Caenorhabditis elegans: one gene and its partner. The protein of the gene in region 1 interacts with the protein of each later gene in a pairwise test. Each region holds a gene or a part of one and is shown in the gene's direction. Other genes may lie near its edges.

Region 1 (3,757 bases):
ATAGATTTCAAACTTATATGCTATTCATAGTTCATTATTGAAGCTTCTAGTTAATTATTATGACATTGAAATATTTTTTTAATTTGCTATCACAAAGAAAGAAACCAATTGTCACATAGAATCAAAAAATTGGCATTTTCTATTCAATAACCCATATATTAAATCAATAATCACTAACGCATAAAATGATCCTAAAATACTTTTGATGATTTTCAAATGATTTGTTCAAGGAAACTTAAAGCAATTTATGTGAAAATTCGATAAAACTCAGTATCAAAGAAAAAATAAAATAAAACCAAATAAAACTAAATAAAACTAGGTAAAACTAAGTAAGTAAGTAAAATCGAAAAAGATTCTAAAATATTTAAAAAAATCAGAAGTCAAAAATCCAATTCTACAAGATGATAAACCGACGAATTAATTTTTGTTCGTAATTCCTAGAACTACTGTGTTTTTCATTGCAGTATTTCTTGCAATACCATTTTTTGACTGTTTATATTTGAAATTCAATATACAAAACTGGAATTTACGTAGGATTCAAACAAAAATGTGCACATTTAGAAACAAAATTATACGAGCATTTTGAAGACGCTGGGAATCATAGAAGATCCATGAAAAATACCATGGGGTGCAAAATTGATACAAAACATACCATACCTAAAATTATTAAACGAAAAACTACACATTAAATATCAAAATAGTTTTAAAAAAATTCGTCATATAAAACATATTCTCTTTCCTCATATTTTTGTTTCGAAGTTTTTGTTTCTATTGTTTATGTTTTCGGCTAGCTTCATCATATTTTGCTTTTCATCCTGCCCATTTGTTGTTCAGTACACATGATTCAAAAACAAAAAAACTGGAAAAAACAGCAAAAACATAAGTTTCTTCATTTTGGATTTCGACCACGTCAGAGATTAACACGGATAAGCCGCGATAATCAGAACTAAACTAAACGATTTTGGAAAGAAGGTCTTCCACACGAACGCGTGTAATTATATAATTAGGAACTTGCATTTCGGGTCAGGTCACTTGAAACCTTTTAGTGTAGTTTAATCGAAACTGCGTTTGACCGCCCGAGACGGGTTTGTGTTAGTTTTTTGTTGTTGAGTATTTGTGACTTATACCAGAAATTGTCACTTTTAGTTTGGTCTTACAGTTTAGAGTATTGGTATATTATCAAATTAGATTTAATTCAATTTTAAACTAATGAAAATGTTTCTACATTGTATGTATTAGCTCACGAAGTGTCTTCTTATCATTCGTAAAATTTGGGAACATGTTGCACTGGCAACAATATTCATGGTTTAGTTTTGTTTAATTTTTTTCCAGAATACATATAATTTTGTATCATTTTTTCATGTATTCTTGTGGCGTCAATGTGTCTCATTTTGGTTTGATCTACGTAGACCTACAAAAAATGCAGGAGTTCAGACGCAGAGTTCTCAACTGATTTTGCACGGTTAAGAACGCGCTGGCGTCAATTTTTTTTCGATTGAAAAACTCCCGCATTTTTTGTAGATGAAACCGTAATGCCTGACACCGTGGGCCTGACACCACGTTTGTATTTGCATTCAAAATATTCATTCATTCAAGATGTGAAGTTAAAATTCATGTTAGTATTAGCTTCATGTAGTTTAGTTGAAAAATGACCACGTGAGAATTACGTTATTGATTAAATATTTCTAGGTATGATTGCCATATTAGCACCCAAATAAATGTCTAATTTTTCTCACCTATTTTTTTCTCGTTCTACATTCAATCTTGATGATTCACTATTTAATCGAAACTAATCTCAGGGTGAATGAATCGAGGGGACGTGATAGATCCGCGCTCGTCGGATGGCACATCATCGGATCAGCGACGAGTGCATGCAGTGCCACCGACACCCATGTATCAGGGAGAGACGAACATTTTAGACTCACTTCTAAAGGAGGCTCAGTTGAATCCAAGTCTGAAAGCGAGTGGTGAGCAATATCGAACCAGGGGTCCTGCAATTCGAAAAACTATTTTTCAGTGATGAACCACCAGGCTCAAACAAAAAGCAAGGATGACGACGAGAAGCGGTTGCAGAAGATGCTCGAAAAATATCAGCTTGAAATGAACATGCAAAGAGCAAACAGCCGGAAGGATTTACATGGAAGTGCAGGACGTGCGTGTGACATTTTTTGTTTTTTTTCTGTTTTTGGTGGATTGATGAAAATAGTATATTATTTCAGCATCACCTATCAGTCATTCTCAGCCATGTCTTATTGCGAGTGGATCAAGATCGTCAGAGTAAGTATTGGTTTTATGATGTTTTTGAAACGTTATACGGTAAACTGTAAAATTTTTTTTGAATGTATCAATAACTTTATCCACAGTGTTTCCCACTATGCATTAATTTCAGCCACACTTTTTAAATAAGGAAATTTGTAGCATTTTTTTTTTCATTTTATAAAATTATAAAAATCGTAGAAAACATTTTGGTGAATTTAATAAGTAGTAAGTGACGAATACTGAAAAATTGCTAGATTTCTCTCTTTTTTTTTTGTGAATAAAAAATTCAAAAATTATAACAAGAGTTTCATTTTTATATTTAATCACTATATTCGTATGGAAAAACTTTTAAACAACTTCCGCACAGGTTTTTAGCTAAACGATTATCTAAAATTAAAACTTCCTACTTTCAAGTTGCATTTCAAAAAACAAACAAACTTTTTTGACAAACTCAACATTTTTCCTGAGATATTTTTTTTACAAAAAAAAGCTTGACCTTCTTCTTTTAAACATTAATAATTTCAGTATTCCCCCAAATGAATCAAAAATGAGCACATCTGCCTATCAGCGTAGGGCATCTGCATCTGGAGATCAAGCACTTGACGTCCCCACATTGAGCCAAACTAACAGAGTAAGAACTTCAACAAGCAACAGCAAAACAAACAATTATTTTAGGGAGTATCCAGCAACCAGAAGCTCATTCAAATTCTCCGCGAGGAGAATGTGCACTTGAAAAAAGAGCTCGACGCTTTCAAGCGCAGTCTTTCAAAACTACAACAGGTTTGTTGGAAGTTTCAAAATAGTGGGAAACCTAAATGCTTGCAGATTGAATACTCATATGCTCGACTGGAAAAAGAATACGAATACTTGGCAAATGAACGAAAAAAGCAAGAAAATTTAGAGCTGAACGTGATTATTCAATTGGAAAAGTCTGTAAAAAAGTAAGTTGGTTGAAAATCTTGTCGGTAAAAAGAGACAACAATTTTCTGATATTTATATCTAATGAAGGCAATATAAAAAAGTTTCCATTTAAAAATGAATTGAAAACTATTTCACAAAATTCACGAGCAGCACTTTTTTGTTGTTTGGGGCAAACTAGACAAACATTGAACACAACTAATATCATTGAAGTTCACAACAATAATGATTTGATTAAACAAACTTGGGCAAAATACTCTTCGCATTTGGCTCTTGCAACTTGCCCAAGTTTGGCCCAAAAAATCTTAACTTGGCTTAGAAGTTGGCTAAACTTGAGAAAAAGGATTGAGACTGCACCAGAGTTTAACCAAAGCCGAACTCTACTCTTACCCTACTTTAAACCCAACTCTTGCCAAACTTTGGCCCAAACTTTTCTTGTTTCGTTTCAAACTTTGGTAGAAGTCTGGCGAGAGTTGGGTGAAACTTGTGTTGAACTTTGGTGTAATTTTTGCCGAAGTCTTGCCTAACTTTTGGCCAAGTTGCGCCAATCCATGTTGATATTTTGTAGGACAAAGTTGGG
Region 2 (3,757 bases), on another chromosome or scaffold:
AAGTGAGCATTGGAGACACAGAGAATATTGAGAAAATAACCGAAAAACAGAAAAATCTCAAAGTTCAGATCCGGTGTCTTGAGCAGCTTTTGACTTTCTTTTTCTTTCTTTTTTGGAGGAAATAACTTTTTTCCGTGCGTAGAACCTATTTCTATTTAGAAATAACGGATGTGAGGTGAGAGTCTTTTCGTTTTTTTGCTTTGCTTCTAGATTCAAAAAACTTCACTTCAAAATGTCGAATCACTTTGAGCGCACGATACTTGACTATAACTGCACATTCAAACTTTGAACCGAGACGAATTATTTCCTTGTTGTTTTCGTTATCAATTAAACACAGTTTTATAACTACGAATGATCGTTTGTTAAAAGCACATAACTATGAACTGTTTGTCATTTGTCAACCACTGATGTCATTATATTTCAGAAACAAGCTTAAAATCAACAAGTTGTCCAATGTCATGTGTTTTAGAATTGTATGCCTGATTGAATCATCATGCAGCGAACAACAATTACAGAAATAACAAAAAAAGGAGAAGTCTGAATTTTCAGCTGCCCATTTCTATTTTCCTGTTTTAGTCATAAAACTCCTAGAGATTTTAATTAAAATATCGCTGGATTCTAAGAAAAATCATAGTGATTTTATAATCAATTACTATTCATTCCGATAAATCTTCCGGAATCCTGAACTAAATCCATTTTTTGTTCGTCTCTTTTACAATTATTTCCTTCTCTAAGTCTCTTGATCCTATACAATCTCTATTAATTCCGTGCGCAATTTAATTCTCATTTTGATAGATATCCTCTTCTCCGTTTCATTGTCATTCATATCCGACGAGTCAACGAACCGAAATTTTTGTTCCTACAACCTTTTTATTTAGAGTTTTTATACTCATTTTATTCAACTCTTCCAACATAGGTCTTGACCTTTCTTTTAGTATTTCTTACTTTGTCGTCTGGTTGAAAACAATAATGAGAGGGTGTGTTCTGTGGGCAATTTAATTAATGATCAACTAAAAAAGCTTCCTGTTTTCTATAAGTCCAGGTCAATTAGAAATAGATGACAGAAAAATGATTTCTGGCATGGTTGATTCGAATTTTAATTTCTTTAATCAATTCCTCAAATGCGAATTTAGAAGAATAAAATACATAGTTTTTAGGAGGTTAAAGACGAATTAGATTCCATTTGAAAAATTAAACGATTTCAAAAGTAAAATATTTTTGGTTCGAAACTAAAAATTTGTTAATACTCTTTGAAAATTTTTTATCCTGAAAAACTAGTTTTTTGCAAAATGTTCAATTTATTTGCAAGTTTATTTCACTCATCACTAGTTCCACTTTTGCAAAATTTCTGAAAATTTTGGATGATTCAAACATGTTTTCTAATTGTTCATCAGACCTTTTTAAGGTAATATTAAATTTTAATTGAAAATTTCAGATCATTCTTCCCACTAAACTTTAATTCCAATTGAAAAAGACTAGAGAACGTAATATCTTTGAAGACGAGAAAACCGTTGTGACGTAGTCGATTCAATCTTCAAATTTCTTTGTCTCTTTCGTTATTTCCATTCAATTTGACTGATTGGTAGTGACTACTGATATCAGTTCAAAAACTAAGACTATTCTCATAGGTTCATATTAAAAATGACCTCCACACACAATCACACTGGTCACTTCTCATCGCCACGTTTTTTATTTGTTTCGTACAGCAGAGTAGTGTAAATGAGAAAAGTGTCAATAGATCAGGAAGTTGTATATTACACATTTCCTATTTCACTCTCTTCTTCTTTTTCATATTTTCATACTACATTTCAAAGTGCTACCAAAAAAGAAAAAATGACTTCCGATTTGTATATTGAGTTTTCTCTATTTCTAACTTTATCCATATACTCTTTTTTTCCAATAATTTTTGTCTTTTTCTATGTTTTATCCTGCAATATGAATTATTGGTGATAACATCATCAGTCCAAATGAAAAATGGATGAGCTTATGTTTTTCAGAGGAATGGCTCCCGATCCAACTTCTTATGATCGAGTTTTCAAATTTCTTATTTTCGGAGGCAAATCGGTATTTTTTTAAATTAAAATCTTTAAAAATTTAAATTTAAATGTCTCTAGTTTTTAAATTTACTAAATTAGTTATGTACTCTCTATTAGAATTTTTCTGACAAAGGTTTCTAAAAAAATGTATCATATTTTGAGTAGTGGCAGTCAAAATATTTATTTTTATTCAAAAAGTATGAGTAGGGCTACTTAAAATTTCCCATTAAGCTCACAGAGTGGATAAAATTGAGTTTTGATGTTAAAAATTGTTCTTCAACGGCTGTAACTCTAAGAATCATTTAATGAAAAAAAAAATGTATTCAGGTTGGTAAAAAGACGTTGCTCCGATCATTTTGCACAGAAGGAGATAATGAAAGTATTTGGACTTCTCTTACTGTTGATGATGAGAAGGTTTTAATTGAAGCAACTGTTTCACAAAAATGGGAAGAAGGAATGTCAAAAGAGCACGATGCAATTGCTCTTGTTTTTTCTACAACTGATGTATATGTGAGTTATTTCGATTGAAGCTGGCAAATCAAATAAATAAATAATTTCAGAGTTTCGAATACACTTTAGAATTATACAATGAAATTCAAAAATCGACAGAGAGAATTCCCCTTGTGTTCATAGAAAATAAAATAGATATTGTGGAAGATAGTCAAATGGATAAAGGATTAGTTGAAGGAGAAATGAGGAAAAAACATAAGAGACTTTATAGGTTTGCAGATGATTTTTAATAAAAAAATTATAAAAAAATAATTTCAGAGTGTCAGCACTGAAAGAATTCAATGTTATGCATCCATTTGCCTACCTCATCGAGAAATTGACACGACAGAAGAAAGATTTAAACGCGAATGAGAGGTTTGACTCTATTACTTTTCAAATTATTTATTTAAACGTTCTTCTCTTAAATAGCTATATTTTCATTTGACAGTTTTCAGACCTTCTCCAATTATCCAATCTGTAATGAAAATTTCTAAAATTCTAAAATTCTGAATACTATATAAACTGAATAATTCCTTCAACATTTTTTCAGCGTTTCAGAAAACAGTCTTCGTCTGTAAATTCTACATCAACGTCACCACCATCTACTACAGTTGAAGCTTGGGTTGAACCGGTTCCCACGGCGACAACAACTTCGGCTCCCGCACTTAAAAAAGATAAATGCACACTGATGTAGTATTGTTTTTGAGTTTAGATATTTTGTTTTTTCTATTGAACTACGAAAAATCACAGTTTCTTGAGGTATTAATTTTTTGAAACAAATTGGGCGTTACGGTTTTGATCTCTTTTTATTTTCTCTTTTATGAAATCACGAAATAAACCTTTTGAATTTCTGAAAAAATATATATGCTTTTCCGAAATTCTGAATTAAATAAACAGTTTCATAAAATGCACCATGATGCACCATAACGTGATAGAGTGCGATTTCTTGGAATTCGAATTTGAAAAACCGCCAGTTTACACGAGAAATGCGCAAAGACACTTTGCGCCAGCATGCGTCCTTGACGCGTTGTTGTCATTTTATTCATTTTCTCACAGCTTCCACGGATTTTCCTTTTTTTTATTTTCCTTTTTATTTTCCTCAGTCATTTCTCATAAATTTTAATTTCGTAAACGCAAAAATTGTAGAAGAAGAAACTGGTAAGAATAACCGACGAAAATGATGGCCGCACGACTCCTGGGAACGTCGTCTAGAATTTTTAAATTAAATAAGC

What was found.
Region 2: the proteins of F59C12.3 (region 1) and ZK669.5 interact in a two-hybrid assay, tested with the Caenorhabditis elegans proteins (one large-scale study listed by BioGRID).

Annotation. Positions count from the first base shown.
Region 1 is NC_003284.9:16,607,567-16,611,323, reverse strand, and holds the start of F59C12.3 (Angiomotin_C domain-containing protein), read left to right. Parts: upstream 1-1,799; 5' UTR 1,800-1,804; coding exon 1,805-1,967; intron 1,968-2,017; coding exon 2,018-2,152; intron 2,153-2,219; coding exon 2,220-2,277; intron 2,278-2,447; exon of another isoform or gene 2,448-2,672; intron 2,673-2,784; coding exon 2,785-2,890; intron 2,891-2,934; coding exon 2,935-3,039; intron 3,040-3,084; coding exon 3,085-3,200; intron 3,201-3,757.
Region 2 is NC_003280.10:7,945,121-7,948,877, reverse strand, and holds ZK669.5 (GTP-binding protein Rhes), read left to right. Parts: upstream 1-2,000; 5' UTR 2,001-2,001; coding exon 2,002-2,064; intron 2,065-2,363; coding exon 2,364-2,546; intron 2,547-2,596; coding exon 2,597-2,757; intron 2,758-2,804; coding exon 2,805-2,900; intron 2,901-3,075; coding exon of another isoform or gene 3,076-3,083; coding exon 3,084-3,219; 3' UTR 3,220-3,382; downstream 3,383-3,757. Other genes in the region: dbt-1 (Lipoamide acyltransferase component of branched-chain alpha-keto acid dehydrogenase complex, mitochondrial), read left to right, coding at 3,703-3,757.